Linked DNA regions of Callithrix jacchus. The protein of the gene in region 2 interacts with the protein of the main gene of each other region in a biochemical or structural test. Links are inferred from orthologs where the notes say so. Each region holds a gene or a part of one and is shown on either strand. Other genes may lie near its edges.

Evidence for each region.
Region 1: the proteins of KBTBD8 (region 2) and TCOF1 form a complex in vitro, tested with the Homo sapiens proteins (2 studies listed by BioGRID, with this or other methods). The link is inferred for Callithrix jacchus from reciprocal best matches to the Homo sapiens genes KBTBD8 and TCOF1.
Region 3: the proteins of KBTBD8 (region 2) and NOLC1 form a complex in vitro, tested with the Homo sapiens proteins (2 studies listed by BioGRID). The link is inferred for Callithrix jacchus from reciprocal best matches to the Homo sapiens genes KBTBD8 and NOLC1.

What each region holds. Positions count from the first base shown.
Region 1 is NC_133503.1:49,110,471-49,116,248, reverse strand, and holds part of TCOF1 (treacle protein), read right to left. Parts: intron 4,822-5,778; coding exon 4,273-4,821; intron 2,750-4,272; coding exon 2,653-2,749; coding exon of another isoform or gene 2,652-2,652; intron 2,083-2,651; coding exon 2,032-2,082; intron 1,273-2,031; coding exon 1,125-1,272; 3' UTR 1-1,124.
Region 2 is NC_133516.1:48,791,185-48,797,062, reverse strand, and holds the start of KBTBD8 (kelch repeat and BTB domain-containing protein 8), read right to left. Parts: upstream 3,295-5,878; 5' UTR 3,215-3,294; coding exon 3,199-3,214; intron 3,000-3,198; exon of another isoform or gene 2,886-2,999; intron 2,584-2,885; coding exon 2,373-2,583; intron 1,921-2,372; exon of another isoform or gene 915-1,920; intron 1-914. UniProt on the Homo sapiens protein: Substrate-specific adapter of a BCR (BTB-CUL3-RBX1) E3 ubiquitin ligase complex that acts as a regulator of neural crest specification.
Region 3 is NC_133513.1:95,103,442-95,109,319, forward strand, and holds the start of NOLC1 (nucleolar and coiled-body phosphoprotein 1), read left to right. Parts: upstream 1-2,657; 5' UTR 2,658-2,679; coding exon 2,680-2,799; intron 2,800-5,878. UniProt on the Homo sapiens protein: Nucleolar protein that acts as a regulator of RNA polymerase I by connecting RNA polymerase I with enzymes responsible for ribosomal processing and modification.

The DNA.
Region 1 (5,778 bases), on a different chromosome or scaffold from region 2:
GTGGAGAACTGGGCACCCATGCCCTACCTAAGGGGCCAACTGCTACTCAGCTCTATCTGGTTGCTGCCAGGAGGGAGCACAGCCCCCCTGCTGCCAGATGTTGTCTTTTTAAGAGGAGCCAAACATCAAGAACTGCAGGGTCTCCAACACCTCCAGCCCTGCATTCCTTTTCTGCACTACCTCTGGCTGTTTCCAGAGGCAAAAGCTTTGGAGACGCCTCTAGCACCCCTGGTGTTTTATATGATTCTGGGCCTAGGGAAGTGGGCTTCTGCATTTCCAGGATGGAGCAGGAGACCTCCTTTGCTACCCCTCCCCTCCTTCATTCCACACACAAGACGTCATCCCATGTCATGTCTTTCATATTCATCTGCTTCTTGCCCCCCCACCACAGAACCATGGTGAGCTCGATGTGAGGGACAACTCACCACTCCTGATTCTCCTAGACCTGCTGTCTGCCACAGCTATTCTCCATCACGCACCTCAAGAGAGCCTGCCCCTAGCTCAAGGCTTCTCAGGCCCCCTTCCATTTCTTGTCTTTGGGTATTTGCGTGACTTACTCTGGCAACAGGAAATCAACCATGACTATCCTTTAGTTTAGATGTCACCTCATCCAGGAAGCCTTCCCTGCCAATTCGGCATTTCATTGCATCTCTTTCTCAAACTCACCGCCTGTCCCACTAACCGTGGTCACCTACAGCCTCAACACACATGCAAGAAGGAATCCCAAGTGTTGGCGAGATGGTCCCTTCCAAGAAACCTGTGCCCCAGATGCACTGGGAACCTGAACCTTTCCTCCAAGTCTTTTATTTTTTTGAGTTCTTTAAAAAAAAAAAAAAAAACCAATAAAAATACAACCAAAAGAACTGACGAGAGGAAGACAAAGCCTCAGGATCAGCCAGAGACCGAGCGGCACGGGATGAGGCACAGGTCGGGCCTAGCTGGATCTGTGGAGCAAGGTGGTGGGAAGTCCTGAGGCCTTTGGGCATGGGGGGTCTGCAGAAGGAGGGGTCACTTAAAAAAATACACATACTGTACACATCTATACGAAGCGTCCCTTGTTGGGGGAGTAGGGCGAGGTCATGGGAGCTGGCCCACTTTCTCCTCAGACCAGCCTCCCCGCAGGCTCACTGGCTTGGCCAGTACAGGGACCCCTGCAGCTGGCTATCTTCTGTGGAGCGAGGGGAAGGTAACAATCTATTTCCAACCCATGGTGAGCAGAGGTCCGCGGAGGTCAGAGGCAGGGGGATGGTCACCACTCGGATAGAAAAATCCCTGGGGGAAGGAAACACACCCAGACATCAGATTCTCTGACCTTTTTCCCCTGCAAGGAAAATGAAGCCTGGCATCTCCACTGCAGGGGAGAGGAATTAACCACAGCAGACATTTTTTTAGCAATTGGAACATTCTGGGAACTGGGCTGAGTCCTTCAGCGTTTAGTTTCACATAAGCCTCACCACCAGCCCAGGAGGCGGGCTCTGCCTTGCCCCCATTTACAGGAGGCTGGGTGACCGCAGAGCCATCACAGCCAGTGGAGCAGCTAACTGTCACCACCACTTGGCAGGGCCTGTCCTCCATAGAGAAGCATAGATCCACGGAGACAGCTCATCTTGAGCAAACCATCTTCCTTCCCAAAAGGAAATGCCCCCAAGTTACAGGATCATGAGGAAAAGAAACGCGACAGAAATGAAGGAAAGACCGAGCTGTATCCGATCTCACCTACAAACAGGTTCCATCTCCCAGGGCATAACCCCCTAAAGCATGTACAATCCCTGCACCCAGGGTACACTCAATGTCAGCCACTGCCATTACCATTCTGGATCCTTCTGACGCTGCAGTGCCAGCTCCTGATGTCATCCCACTGGCCCCATGGACCCTTGGCAATAGAACCTCTTTCCCCCGCCTCCTTTCTCCTTGGAGTCCACCGACCAGGGAAGAGGCTCTCTTCCCAGGTCTGCCTGGCTCTCTGGGACTACAGCGGATGCCAGAGCTGTTCTCCAGCCCCGAATGCTCAGGAATGATTGGGAAGCATACCTGTGACTTGTGCTGATGCCCATCATACAGTCTGCTCTGGTGTCTTCTTCTGTGAGGAGGGAAGTGCGAGAAGCTCAGACCTGCAGCTTTTCCCTACCCACTGCTGCCCCAACCTCCTGAGGACTAGTGAATTCCCCCAGAACAAATACTGGGTCTTCAGGGAACCCCCAAAGGCAGAGGCAAACAGATGTTCAGCTCTCCTAAATACAGCTGAGGCCCTGCTGGCCAAGGGGAGAACTTCATCTATATCTGAGGTGCTGAGGTACCAGGCAGTAAGGATAGCCCCTGTTCAGGGCCAGCCTGCCAGCTGAGGCACACACATTCCAGGCAATGCTTCCTCTCACCTGGAAACCTCCACAGTCTACCTGGTTTCCCTGTGCTATGAGGAGTCTCTCCTTCCTTCCCCAACACCCTTCACAGAAGTGGCAGGCCACTTCTATGGCTTCCACGTGCTCAGGGAACATGCCCTGCCAGCCTCTTCCCTGGGTGTGTCACAACTCATGAGGCCCCCACCAGGCCCTGGAAAGGGGAAGGGGGCAGGAACCAGGTCTGGGTATGAGCGAAGGGGCTTGGGTTTGGGTCCGTTTTCTGGCCTGAGACCCTTCAGGAACTCACTCTACCTTTTTTTTCTTTTTCTTCTGGGATAGTGACTCAGGATCTTTGGTTGAGGCCTTTTTTGCTTTCTTCTTCTTTCCCCTTTTTTCCTTGTCTTTTTTTCCTGAGGAAAGAAAGCAAACTTCCTGAACAACAGATGGTAATCCTAAGTGCTGGGGTCAATGTTGAGAGGCGCACAGGGGCAGGGCTCCCAGGATCGTGAAACTTGTCTCTGCTGATGCTGGGTTCCCAGCTCTCCCCACATCACCAGGAGCCATCACAACAGGCTGGCAGGGCCAGGCATGGTGGCTCATGCTTGCAATCCCAGCACTTTGGGAAGCTGAGGCAGGTGGATCACTCAAGCTGAGGAGCTCAAGACCAGCTTGGGCAACACAGTGACCTATCTCTACAAAAAATACAAAAATTAGTTGGGCATGGTGGTGCACGCTTGTGGTCCCAGCGATTTGTGGGGTTGAGGCAAGAGGACGCTTGAGCTTGGGAGGCTGAGGTTGCAGTGAGCTGCGTTCATGACACTGCACTCCAGCCTGGGTGACTGGGCAAGATTCTGACTCAAAAAAATAAAAACAAAACAGGCTGGTGGCCTTGGTGACCACCTAGCAGTGCCAGCTCACCTGCCCCTTGTGGGCCAGCTCATGATTTCTGTCTCATCTATGGACCACCTGAATGACTACCATTTTTCTTTAGGTCAACTCACTTTTTAAAACTGCAACTTTATTTTAAATGGACACTATCTATTCCCCCTGTAAATGGAAATCTAGCACAGTTCTGAGTGCCAAGGGGCTGCAGGTCCTGTATCCTGCTCTGAGGGTGCCTGACTCTTGCTCTAGAATGAGCTGGCTCTTTAGGCATTACTGGCATCTCATACACCCCTTTCCCACCATCCAGGGTGGCGCTTCAGAGTGCTGCCTAGGTTTGACTCTGGTTCCACCTAGTAAAACTCTGTGGCCCTGAACAGCACCTCTACTTCTCTGAGCCTCAGTTTTCTATCTGCTGAGCTTCATTTCTACCTAAATGAGGACCTGCTGCATGCAGAGTCTAGCACAGAGCTCAGTAGAAAGCCAGTGTTACTATGGAGGGAAAACTGAGGTCTAGAGAGAAGATGGGATTTGGCATGAAGATTCTGACAGTCTGGTGTCTGGTCTACTCTGCACTCGGAGTGGCTGGAGAAGCAGGTTCCTGCAAGATCTGCTGCACTGGGCTCAGGGAAAGAGGACATGAATCCTCATCCTTCTGGAGCATTCCTGGCAGTGCTGGCCCTAGTGCTCTGGAACCAAGTCCTGGCTTTGCCACTAACTGCGCCCCCATGACTCTGGACAAACCACTTCTCAGCCTTTTTTGACAGTCTCACTCTGTCTCCCAGGCTGGAGTGCAAGAGTGCGATCTTGGCTTATTGCAGCCTCCGCCTCCTGGGTTCAAGCGATTCTCCTGCCTTAGCCTCCCCAAGTAGCTGGAATTACAGGTGCCCACCACCACGCCCAGCTAATTTTTTGTATTTTTAGGCCAGGCTGGTTTCAGCCTCTCCTTTCTACATGGGAGAAATGAGACTAGGTGCTGGCTCAGGGTCCCTCCTGCCCCCATGAGGTGCCCAGCAGCTCTCGGTGTGGGGCCAGAGAAGTGGTCACTCACTCTTGTCCGATTTCTTCTTCTCCTTCTTGCTCTTTGGGTTGCTTTGATCTCCACCTTCAACCTTCCCCATCCCCTTCTGAAGCTCCTCTTCTGGTTTGTCCTTCACCCCTTGGGAGCCAAGAGGCCCCTTCCCCTTCTTCTCCTTGATGCCACCACTTGCTTTGTCTCTCTTTGCTTTTCCCTTGGAAGTCATGGAGGCCTTTTCCGGAGAGACAGAGGCCTCCCCACCTTCTCCGGCCCCCAGCTTTTTCTTCTTGTTCCTCGCAGCAGGCTGGTCTCCAGACAGCTTCCGCTTGCGGCTCTCCCAGCCCTTCCTGCTGCTCTCCTTGGTGACATCCGCCGCCTTCTTTTTTTCCTGCTCCAGCAGCTCAGTCAGGACCTTCATCACCGAGGCCTGCACCTGGGCCTCGCTCAGGGGCCAGGGTTGGCCCAGGAGGCGCTGGGCAATGTTGCTTTGCAGTGCCAGAGTTGAGGCCTGGGGGATCCCAGCCCCTTTCTTGGGCTTCTGGGACTTCTGAGGTCTGGTGTCTGAGACAGCCTCTTTTCCACCTATGGAGAGAGAATGTGGGGTCACGGATCTGGGATAGTTGGGGGATAAATCTTACAGTACCTAAGAGCGAAGAGGGTGCAGTGAGTGACTCCGCCTTTTCTTACAGAGATGGGGAGAGTAATGCTTGGCGGTCACTCTGCCCCAGCTGGTCTCCTAAGCTCACACCTTTCCACTATTTTCACATTCTGACTTCGTTTCTAACTTACAGCTTTTCCCTGTCTCTTTACACTAAAAACTGAAGTTAGGGTAGGGGACAGAAAATGACTCTACAGTGTTAATGAAAGGGCCTGAAATCTATCAATGAAATGAAGTCAGACAGGAGGGAGATGGAGTCTGGAGCTGGGAGGAAGGAGACCTGGGTACTATATCTGACTTTCCCACTAACTTTCAGTGTGATTCTGGCCAGGACCGATCTCCCAGAACCTCAGTTTCCCTGTCTATAATCTGAGGGGTAGATGAACAGCAAGGCTCCCTATGAAACACTAGATTTATAATGAAAGCAGAGGCCATGCAGTCATTCAATTCATGACTACCCACACTTGGCCCTTCCTGGTCAAGGGGTCCAGGTAAGGTGGGGAGTGCCGGGTACAGTGTATATACACGTGGTGGCTGACTAAGCAGGTTTACTGCCTGCCAGAGAGACTTCTGGTACAGCCTTTGTTTAGAATTTTCCACGCCTCTGCTTGCCTCTGATAATTGTGTGCTGACTACACGTGTAAAAAAAAAACCTTCCACAGCCCCCTCTAAAATGTCTCCTTGTCGCACCGCCTCTCACAAAGAACGCTGGGGAAGAAAGTGAGCAGCAATTCCTCTTCTGACCTAGCCTGGGGCAAGCTGTGGCTGAAAGCCCCATCACTGCATCCCCTTGCCACCTCTAACTTCCCAGGTGACTTGGAGGTCTCTGCCCCATTCTGGGTCTCATGGGCGCAACACTCCTGCATGCTAGGCTCTGAAAG
Region 2 (5,878 bases):
AAAATTTCTAATAATCATACAAATTTCAATTCTGATGAGTTACTGGTATCATGAAACAGCCATTCCAGATTTCCCATTATTCTAATTCTTCCACTAGTGATGCAAGACTTAGAAACTATTAAGTATGACTTTCTACATCCCACACATAAAGTAATGCTGGTACCAAGAAACGTCAGTACAAAAACCTCTAGCAAGAGACCAAATTCTAATCCTTAAGTTTTCTAGCCAAATATCTTTATTTTAATGCACTTGTATCATATCCTCAGAAAATTTCTCAAGTATATTTTACTCCTTTTTAAAATTAGCTTAATAAAGAGTTTAAGATTTTAAGGAATCAAGAAAATTAGGAATCTATCCTAGCATACTTCTTTTAAAGTAAGATTTTTTTCTAGGTCTTCAAAAAAAAAAAAATGAAACTGCAAAGTGAAAATGTCATACTTATTAAGTATGCTTACTAAGTATTATACTTAATAAGGATAACATTTAAATGATATAATCTGGGTTATTAAACTTCAGTAAGATATAGACATTTTCACTTTGCAGTTTTTCTTAACCATTCAAATGTAACATATAGTAAAAATGTTTTACAGGAAACTTTAAAAAGGACCCACTGTACCCACTCTTGTTTCTTAAGAGTCACATGTTGACTAAGAAGCCTGGCTCTGGAATCAAATGTAGCCTCGGCCATTTGCTTGTTGGATAGATGATTTAGGCGTGTTATTAAAACTTAATCTCACTGAGCCTCAGCTTCTTCCTAAGTCAAATGGAACAACAACTGTGCAGAAATAGGATTATAAAGATTATATAAGGCAATACATGTAAAGTAAGCTTGATAAGTAGTAATTGTAACGTATATTTAAACATACAAATGACCTAACCATATCTAATAGATAATCTGTGTAAGTGAATCTCACCAGAAGTTTCCATTACCAGGCCAAACTTCATACCTTCTGCATACGTGGGTTTTATTTTTTTTTTTTCCGTATTGCAATGATTAATACTTAGTAGTCCAATGACCTAGCCTAGGCAAGTCTAAATGGTTACATCACAAGCATCAAACTGAAATGACTATATTTAACCCAGTATTCTGAGAAAGAGGAACCAGAAACTACTGTTGGAACATTATACGGCTATGTTCCCTATATAGGTAAGCACTTTCAAAAGGAAAAATCACATTCAGAGTGCGGTTGAACACTTTACTATTATTTATGCACCACTTGTGAATACGGAAAAGCTTCAAGTGAGCAGGTAGCACAAAAGAAGTTAAACACACACAGTAAACTGCCTTTCCCACTAATTTTAAAGTAGGAAGTTATTTTTCAGCCCCCAGTTTTTAAATTTTATTTTTAAAAGTTTAAACAATAAAAGTAAAAATAAAAACAGTTTAGCATACGTCTAGAAATATTGAAAATTGTTAATTTGGGGACTTAGGCACGTAGAGACTATATTTTACTCATTTTTTATTCCACTGCTTTGACCCCCAAAGCATTAAAACAATCTATCAAATGGTAATTTGTTTTTAAAGGAACACACTACTATGTTTTAAACCCTTTTATAAAAGAGTCCCATGTACTAAAGAAACATGCGTTATGGATAACTTGTTGAAAATAATTCTAGATCAGCACTGTCCAGTATAACTGCCAGTGATGAAAATGTTGTATCTCTGTGCTGTTTAATATGGCGGCCACTAGCTGCGGGTGACCACCAAGCACCGAAAACATGTTTAGTGGCCCCACACGGTGGCTCACGCCTTAATCCCAGCGCATTGGGAGGTTGCGGCGGGCGAATCACGAGGTCAAGAGATGGAGATCATCCTGGCCAGCACAGTGAAACCCCGTCTCTATTAAAAATACAAAAAATTAGCTGGGCGTGGTGGTGCCTGCCTATAGCTCCAGCAACTCGGAGCCCTGAGAAAGAATTGCTTGAAACCGGAAAACGGAAGTAGTGAACCGGGATTGCGCCACTGCACTCCAGCCTGGCGATAGAGCGAGACTCTGTCGCAAAAAAAAAAAAAAAAAAAAAAAAAAGTGTTTAGTGTACTTGGGGACCCGAGGAACTACATGTTTCATTTTATTTAACTTATAATTTAAGTTTAAACAGCCACGCATGGCTACTGGCTGCCATACTGACCAGCACAAGTCTAGATTACCTCAAACACACACACCGACCCAGTAACTTAAAATTCAACGCTAGAAGAATCCCTCAAGTCAAAATAAGGTCTTAAAAAGAGAGGACCCGTTTTCTAGTCTCAAGAAACAAAGCCATTGGTTTCATTTCATTATTGCATCTCAGTATAAACATCAAGTGGACAATACTGAGGGGGGAAGGGAGCTTGGTGCAGATACCGACACAAGTTCCTACCATCATCATACCTGAAGTAAGGGCTGATTGCAGCAAGAACGTTTCTATGACAGGAAAATGTTTTCCCGTGATCCACTTCCACTACAATGTCTGTCAACTGTCCTTCATCGTACATTGTTTTGAGTTGCTTAAGAATACTGCAAGCATGGAAGGGGTCCATGGCATCGCTGGCTGGGTCTGTAGATGGAATCCCATTCGGTGTTGGGGAAGATTTACTTAAATCTAGGAGGAGAAAAATCGTACAACCACAAGAAGTGCCGAGCCAGTTACGGCGTCGCGGGATTTTTTTTTGTTTGTGTGTTTGCTTGCTTGGCTTTTTCCCCGCTACAAAGATATATATATACATATATGTCTGTGGATATACGCACGACCTCGTGGGACCGCGAGTTTAGGATCTAGGAGACAGAGGGCGGAGCGCCATCGGCGGAACAAGTTCAAAGGCCAGCCTGCTCCTGCGGAGCCCGGCGAGCCCGGCGCCCGTGCTCGCGGAGGGAACGCGCTCGCAGCCCATGTGAGGCGTCTGCGAGAACTCCGCCGAGAGCCGAGGGCAGAGCCTCACGAAGGAAGCTCAACCGACGGCGACCGCCGGTGCCCCCTCAAGCCGCCTCCCGCTGCCTCCCGGGTCGCAGCGACGGCGGGTACCCAGCCTCCCCATCCCTGTCCCGCCGGACCGCCCACCGCCCTCCGCACCATTCATCCTCCCCTCATTCCCCTCTACCTCCTCATCCTTCCCTCCGGCTCCACACCGCTACCTCTTCATCCCACCGCCTATGGCCGGCCCCGGCCAACCTTCCCCCTCAACTCCCTCCACGCCGCCCTGGCCACCACACAACCCACCTGCCGACGCGGCCATTTCTCGATGGGGCCCCGGCTCCAGCTATTTAAAGAGGAAATGTCATTTCGCTTCTCCAGCTCCCGGGTTCCGGCTCTTCTAAGCTTCCCCTAGCCAATGGGGTGTACTGTGCATTTGGCTCCGCCCCTAGCCTACGAATTTCTGGCACTGATTGGTCTCGACGCGAGCATATGCGTGACGGGTAATGTAGTTTGATTGCCCCCGCTCCCGCGTGGTCAGACTTGGGCGGAGGCCCAACCCGGGAATTCCTATTGGCAGATACGGGCGGAGGTGGAGAGCAGGGAGCTAGCCAGCCTGTGGCCGTCGAGCGCGCAGTGCCTGCCGGGAGAGGTAGTCTTCTGGCGGAGGAGAACTGTCATTCTGAGGGGCTGGGGTAGGGAAAGCTCTTCAAGTGCGAATGTCCCCATTTTAGGCCTCTCTCCTGGCCCCCGGCTCATTTTTTTACCTTTTTCTTCTTCCGTAAACTTCCTGCCACTGACTGGCTTCCGGTATGCAATCAAGCTCTGCGTGAGAGCTGTAAAACCTGAAAAATTTGGAAATGTACAGGAGGGCTGTTGTCCAAAAATGCAAAGGAAATATGACGCCCCACCCTGAAGAAAAATATCGGAAGGCCCAAAAGCAAGGCGTCTCTGATGAGTCACCTGTGACACCCAATTGAAATAGCATCGCCTTGGCCCGGTACTCTGGTTTCCACAGATTAACTTGGTCTGGTTAGAGCGGTTGTTTAGGATATTTAACTCCCACTCGTGCCTTGCTTTTCTAGCGCACCCAGAGAACACCTGTTCCGCACGTGAACATTATAGAGGGATCCCAGATGCTTTCCTTTTTGCTCTTGGAAAATGGAGGGATGCAATACTAAGTATTCTGGGAATTCCTTTGAAAAAAATACCGGAGAGCCCTGAGCCCGGGGCCAGGGATGATTACTGAAGCCCTGGCTCTTTAGTCACTATATGTGAGAACTGACATAAGACCTTTCAATCCTTAACCACTTAGATCCTTCACCTGTAACGTGAAGTGATAGTAATACGTATTCTATGGACTTCATAGGCTGCAACCCTTTGGAAAGAAAATCAAAATTTTGATTTACTCATCTTGTGTTTCTAACATCTGATGGGGTGCCTGGCACATTATAGATGCTTAATATTTTAAAGATTAAGGTGCAAATGAGCTAACATTGGTAATGTTACTTCTAGACTGTTAAAATGTAAGGAAGTATCAGTGAATGGCAAGAATGTCTAGTAGGCATATAGTTAGCCCGTGTGCATAAATCTTCTAGCACTGAAAAGATTAAACAGTTGAACTTCTTGATAAAGGATCTTGGAATTTAAATTGTTATTGAGAAAGAGAAAGAATTTTGAAAAACAATTCAGTTCTGTCCCCTAGGTCTGCTGAGAAATTTAGAACTCAAAATACTATAACCCCATGCAAATTAACAAGAAGTGGTATTTCCTCATGACAGGGGTTTATGCATTCCCATATGCGCTTATAATTTCCTCTTTGTGAATGTCCTGTCTGCACATTTCTGGATGGATGAAATTGACTTAATTTTTGTTACTCATAACTTTACTTTTTCATTTTTATGTGCTTAATGATATTGCTTTCTAAGTTATTAAATGGTGGCATTTTTATTACAATATGGATAGTATTGGGGGGAAAATTGCATTAATCCTTAGGGTTTGACAACCTCTGACAATGTTGCAGATAAAAATACAGGGCATGCATTATTTGAGACATACTTAAACTAAAATAACACTTGTTGTTTATCTGAAATTCCAGTTTAATTGGGTGTTCTCTATTTTACGTGGCAACCTTTTCAGATTTCTTAAAATAGGAGTTTCGTTTGCACTTTGTTGTTGTTTTGTAGCCATCTATTTACTTAAGCCTTTAGATATTTGGTCAATTTTTTTAAAAATTTAATTACCAACTTAGTAGCAAACAGACCTGACAATATTGTTTGATTAGTTAAAAGACAGTGTTCAGGTTATTTGACCCACAAAGATTTATAAATTGGAGATGGAGCAGAATACAAATAACAAAAGCCAATCTAAATACAAATAGGAAAATAATTATAGGTACAAAGTTGCCATTTATATGACACTGTAAATAGACCCCATTCTACTGGGCAGATGGCGTTACCCCATAATAAAGATTTAATCTTCACTAAAATGCATTTTTTAGAAGCACAATAAATAGGAGGATCTTGAAACTGAGACAGTAATACCAAACTATTCTTTCTCAATGATCTGTAAGAATACTGGGGAGATTCCTTTTCAGGACGGATACTGACTAGCCAAAGGTTACACATTTATTTTAAAATGGCTCTAATTTGAATTTTAGTAAGAACCTCCTGAATCACTGCACATCTGGAAAGAGCAGCAAAAGTAAACCAGTTTTCCTCTTAAGGTATTGAGTACTATATTTCAATTTTCTCACATATTCACAGTTTAAAGTAAAATCAATTAAGAACAGAAATTGAAAAACTGAACTAGAATATTTGAAGGTCCTACATTTAGTTCTACTTAGACACTTAGAGCTTTTATATTTTAATATTATTGTTTTACCTAGGAATCACAAGCAAAGAGAATTGCTATAATCATGGTTGCTTGAGAGAAGAAACGTCTTTACATTTAAATTCTAGCAAAGATGAAGGATTATGAAAGCATC
Region 3 (5,878 bases), on a different chromosome or scaffold from region 2:
CCTTGGGCCCTCCCCCGCTACCCTTACCCTTTTTTTCCCTCTGGAGGTGCCCAACCTCCACTACCCCATTCCCCTACTCTAGGGGAGAGAGCTGCTAGTGAGATGACTGTTTTATAAAGAAATGGAAAAAAGTGAAATAAAAAATGTGTTAAATCAGATTTTTTAAAAGGGGTATTTGTTTTTTATAAACAGGTATTGAAACAAGTTAACTTGGATTCCTATGTAAGATAGGTGGGGGTTGAGGGGTTCCCAAGTGTTTGGAACTTGCCACTATGCAGACTAATAAACATCAACTAGAGAAAACTCCCACCTGCTGTTGTGCTTCTTTATATGGTATGGTGCTAATGCGAAATATATTCACTTTTCCTATCTGAACATGGTCCAGGGACATGACTCTCTGGTTAGGTGCAAAAATCCCACTGGATTTGAAACTTGGTTCTTCTGATGTATTGTCTAAAATGAGTCATCTAGGACAATGCTTCTCAAACTTTAAAGGGAATTTGAATCATCTAGAGATCTTTCTAGAATGTAGATTCTGACAATGGGATGATGATACTGGTCCAGGAAGGGATTTTCATAACAAGGACCTAGAGAAACTCACACTTGTTCCAAAGAAAGGTTTTCTAAATTGGGACTGGTGTGTACATTAATCATGTCAGTTACATTCATCATTTTCTAATAGCTTGAGCACACTGCATGGCACAGTAGCTGCTCAAATGTTTTAAATAGGCTGGGCGTGGTGGCTTACGCCTATAATCCCAGCACTTTGGGAGGCCGAGGCAGGTGGATCACGAGATCAAGAGATTGAGACCATCCTGGTCAACAAGGTGAAACCCCGTCTCTACTAAAAATACAAAAAATTAGCTGGGCATGGTGGTGTGTGCCTGTAGTACCAGGACTCAGGAGGCTGAGGCAGGAGAATTGCCTGAACCCAGGAGGCGGAGGTTGCGGTGAGCCGAGATCGTGCCATGGCACTCCAGCCTGGGTAATAGGAGCGAAACTCTCATCTCAAAACAAAAACAAATGTTTTAAATAATGCATGCATATGCGTAGAACCGGAAGCATGAAAAAGGGAATTGTGGAGTTTGCTTTTTGGATTTTTGTTGTTGAGATGGAGTCTTGTTCTGTCTCCTAGGCTGGAGTGCAGTGGTGTATCGGCTCACTGCAGTCTCTGCCTTCTGGGTTCAAGCAATTCTCCTGCCTCAGCTTCCCAAGTAGCTGGGATTACAGGCACCTGCCACCATACCTGGCTAATTTTTTTTTGTATTTTTAGTAGGTGCAAGGTTTCACTCTTGGCCAGGACTGTACTCAAACTCATGACCATAGTTGATCCACCCACCTTGGCCTCCCGAAGTGCTGAGATTACAGGTGTGAACCACTGTGCCCAGCGTTTTGATTTTTGAGAGTATCTCACTCTGCGGTCCCGGCTGGATTGCAGTGGCAGGATCATAACTCATTGCAGCTTCCATCTCCCTGGTTCAGTAGATGCTCCTGCCCCAGCCTTCCAACTTGCTGAGACCACAGGTGCATGCCACTACACCTGGCTAATTTAAAATTTTTTTGTAGAGATACAGGGTGGTGTGTGTGTGTGTGTGTGTGTGTGTCTTAACTACGTTGTCCACGCTGGCCTCTAACTCCTAGGCTTAAGGGATTCTCCCACCTCGGCCTTCCAAAGTGTTGGAATAACGTGTGAACCACTGTGCCTGGCCAGTTTTATATAGGAGAGGGGAGTGTTCCATGAGGAAGTGGATCCTTATCCTTCCTGAACTGCATTAGTGGGAGGTAGCCAAGGGGTAGTGGGTAGGATTGAAAGGATTGCTAACTGCTAATATGATCTGAAGTATTGCAGAACTTGGAATTCACTTGGTAGGTCTGAGCACTGATATTGGAGTTACTCATGACAAAGGGAGAGTTTGAACTCTGATATCGGAGGAAGAAGGGTTATTTTCAAGTCTCTTCAGCTTGAAGAGGTGTGTGATTCAGGTTTGGTGTATGACATCTTTCCCCTTCGTGGAGCTGACAGGCGGAATATAAAGGGAGTGGGAGGGGCGGCTTGGGAAATCAGTACCTTCCACCCCCACGACGGATAACTTGAAGGATGCTCTTCTGCGTAGAGACGAGTCTGGAGGCTGGGATGGTATCAGAGAGGAAAGGGCCTCCCTGAGTGTTGGAGGCAGTGAAGATGAAGGGCGAGAATCCATCGGCAGCGCTAATGCGCCAGTTGGGGCGGTTGGGAGATCTTGTGACCAAGTCTGGAGAGGGTAAGGACTGTTAGAGCCCGCTTGTCCACTCATTACTCTGGAATCCGAATCCTGGCAGGGGCGCGGGAAACCGCTGCTCTGAGAAAAGGTACCTCCCCCAGAAAGACAGCGCGGGAAGTCCCAAGTTTTCCCGCCACGCCGAGGGCGTGACCTCTGACGTCAGAGCCCCGCCTCTACAAACCGGCGGCTGGTGGGCTCCGCCCTTGACCAAGATGGCGATACGCGTGGGACCGGAAAGAGCTTTTAGATTTCCCGTCTACCCTACCTCTGAAGCGGAGGTGGGACTGCCCTGTGGAGCCCCACCCTTTCCGCTATGCGACCGCGCGGCGCAATGACGTAATCAGGCCCTCCCACTGCCCCTGTTGGGTTCCTGAGTCGTGCTGCGTCGACAACGGTAGTGACGCGTTTTGCCCGGAGCATGGCGGACGCCGGCTTGCGCCGCGTGGTTCCCAGCGACCTGTATCCCCTCGTCCTCGGCTTCCTGCGCGATAACCAACTCTCGGAGGTGGCCAATAAGTTCGCCAAAGCGACGGGAGCTGTGAGTCCCGGGCTTGGGACGGGAAGCGGGCTGGGTCATGACCACAAGGCTTTAGGCCCTGACGTGCTTGGGTTTCCAGGTGGGGAAGACTGTGGGGTCCGCCAGTCCAGTGTCTGCAAGGCCTTTGCGCCGACCGCTCAGCAGTGACCAGAGAAAGCCTGGGGGCCTCGGTCGCTCGTCTTCCACCAGGTCTTACTAGATAGCGCAGAGTCTTGTTGCTTGTTTCTTGTGAGCCATACAACAGCGGCAACGTGGGAGCCTCGTGGCCCGAAGTCACATGGCTAGCATAGTGCAGCTGGGAGCTAGCGCCTTGTCCCACTGAGGACGTTGGTTCTTAGGCGTCTGGTTCTTCTGGGGGGCTTTTCGTTGGCTGAGGTAAAGCGCGATTTGACCTTACCCTCAATCGCATTTACTGGGATTCAAAAGCAAGTGAAATTGCTTTAGAATAAAGATTGGGATTTTCGTTAGTAAAGAAGAAAATGAATGAAAGTAGGAGCAGAGTTTTGTTTTGAGTTACACTGATGAGAATTGAGCGTCATATACAGCCCTACCAAGCAGGCATGGTAGTGGGCTTGGAGCTTTGGCTAATAGAATCCAACCTAAGTTTGGGACCAGGCTCTGTTACTTTTTAGATATGTGACCCGGGCAGCTTACTTAACCTTTCTGAGTCTTTCTACAGGGATGTCATCATCCACTTCATAAGATTTTGGTGAGTTTCAGTAAGATTATGTGTAAGAGTAGCAATCTCAGTGCTTGTGCCGAGGAATCTTCTAAAAGTGAAAGTTGTACCATAGTTACGGCAATTTAGGATGCGCCAACCAGGAATGTGAAAGATATTTAATCTCCATCAACGGATATCCCTGCATGGAAGACACCTTGAGAGAAAAGAGAGGGGGTCCTTTGCAAGGATGATAGCAGGACTAAGAAGGATGGCTTGCACTTTTAGCAGATCAGGCTGCAAAAGCAAAGAATCAGATCAGCCTCAGAAAGAACTTTCTTAAGCTGGGACAGGCTGTCATGTGATGTAACTGCTTTCGTATTGGAACTGTTTAGAGTTGACTGTTAAGTGACTGCAAAGAGTGCTTTCACAGTGGACTGGATGGAATTGGACATTTAAGAATTAGGATTCTGAATGGTTTTATGTGAGAAAAACTAATCTTTTGTGAAGAGTTTACAAAGGTTCAGATACTTAGCCCTTTACATGCATTTTTTCTTTTTGAGACGGAGTCTGGCTCTGTCACTCAGGTTGCTCACTGCAGCCTCTGCCTCCTGGGTGCAAGACATTCTCCTGCCTCAGCTTCCCAAGTAGCTGGAACTACAGGTGCTTGCCACCATGTGTGGCTAATCTTTTTTGTATTTTTAGTAGAGACGGGGTTTTGCCATGTTGGCCAGGCTGGTCTTGAACTCCTGACTTCAAGAAATCCACCTGCCTCAGCCTCCCAACTGCTGGGATTACAGGCATGAACCACCATACCCGGCCAGCATGCCTTCTCTTATCCTCTCAATAACTTAAATGAGATGTGTAGTATTATCTCCATTTTATAGAGAAGAAAATAATCTCAGGGAGATTAGGTAATTTGTCCTAAGATAAGTTCACATGTATACTGACTGATCCTGAACTCTTTTGTACCACAGAGTCTCACTCTGTTGCCCAAATGGGAGTGCAGTGGCGCAATCTTGGCTCACTGCAACCTTCGTCTCCCAGGTTCAAGCGATTCTGTGCCTCAGCCTCCTGAGTAGCTGGAATGTCTTGGAGTTTTTTGCATCAGTTAATGTTCTGTATCAGTGTAATTAATAATTGAATGAAATTCTTTTTTTTTTTTTGCTGTCATTGTTCTTGAGACAGGGTCTCTCTCTGTTGCCCAGGCTGGAGTGCAGTGATGTGATCACAGCTCAGTGCAGCCTCAAACTCCTCAGCTCAAGCAGTCCTCCCATCTAAGCCCCCCAAGTAGCTGGGACTACAGGTGTGTGCTACCACACCCAACTAATTAAAATTTTAAAATATATATATTTTTTAAGAGATGGGGGGTCTCAGCTGGGTGCAGTAACTCACACCTGTAATCCCAGCACTGTGGGAGGCTGAGGTGGGTGGATCACCTGAGGTCAGGAGTTTGAGACCAGCCTGGCCAACATGGTGAAATGCTGTCCCTATTGAAAATACAAAAAATTAGCCAGGCGTAGTGGCAGGCACCTGTTATCCCAGCTACACGGGAGGCTGTGGCAGGAGAATCACTTGAACCTGGGAGGTGGAGGTTGCATTGAGCCTCATTGCACTCTATCCTGGGTGACAAGAGTCAAACTCCATCTGAAAAAAAAAAAAAGAGAGAGAGAGAGTTGGGGGTCTTCCTGTCTCGCCCAGGCACTCCTGTCCTTAAGTGATCCGTCTGCCAAAGTGTTAGGATTATAGGTGTGAACTACTGCGCCTGGCCTGGATGCAGTTTTTTTTTTTTCTGAGATGGAATCTTGCTCTGTCACCCAGGCTGGAGTGCTGTGGTGCGATCTCCACCCACTGCAACCTCTGCCTCCTGGGTTCAGCGATTATCCTGCCTTAGCCTCCCTAGTAGCTGGAATGACAGGCGCATGCCACCACGCCCAGCTAATTTTTTGTATTTTTAGTAGAGACGGGGTTTCATCATGTTGGCCAGGCTGGTCTTGAACTCCTGACCTCGTGATCTGCTGAGATTACAGGCATTAGCCACTGTGCCAAGACCCCGAATGCAATTTTTTACATTCAGTACAGTACTTACCAGCCTTCTCTTGGAGGTTTGTTTCTTTCTTCCTTTTTTTCTTTTCTTTTCTTTTTTTTGAGACAGTCTTGCTCTGTTGCCCAGACTGGAGTGCAGTGGCACAATTTGGGCTCACTACAACCTCAGCCTCCCAGATTCAGGTGATTCTTCTGTCTCAGTCTCCTAAGTAGCTGGGATTACAGGCTCCTGCTACCACACCCAGCCAATTTTTGTGTTTTTAGTAGAGATGGGGTTTAACCATATTGGCCAGGCTGGTTTTGAACTCCTGACATCAGGTGATCCACCTGCTTTGGCTTCCCACAGTGTTGAGATTACAGGTGTGAGCCATGGCA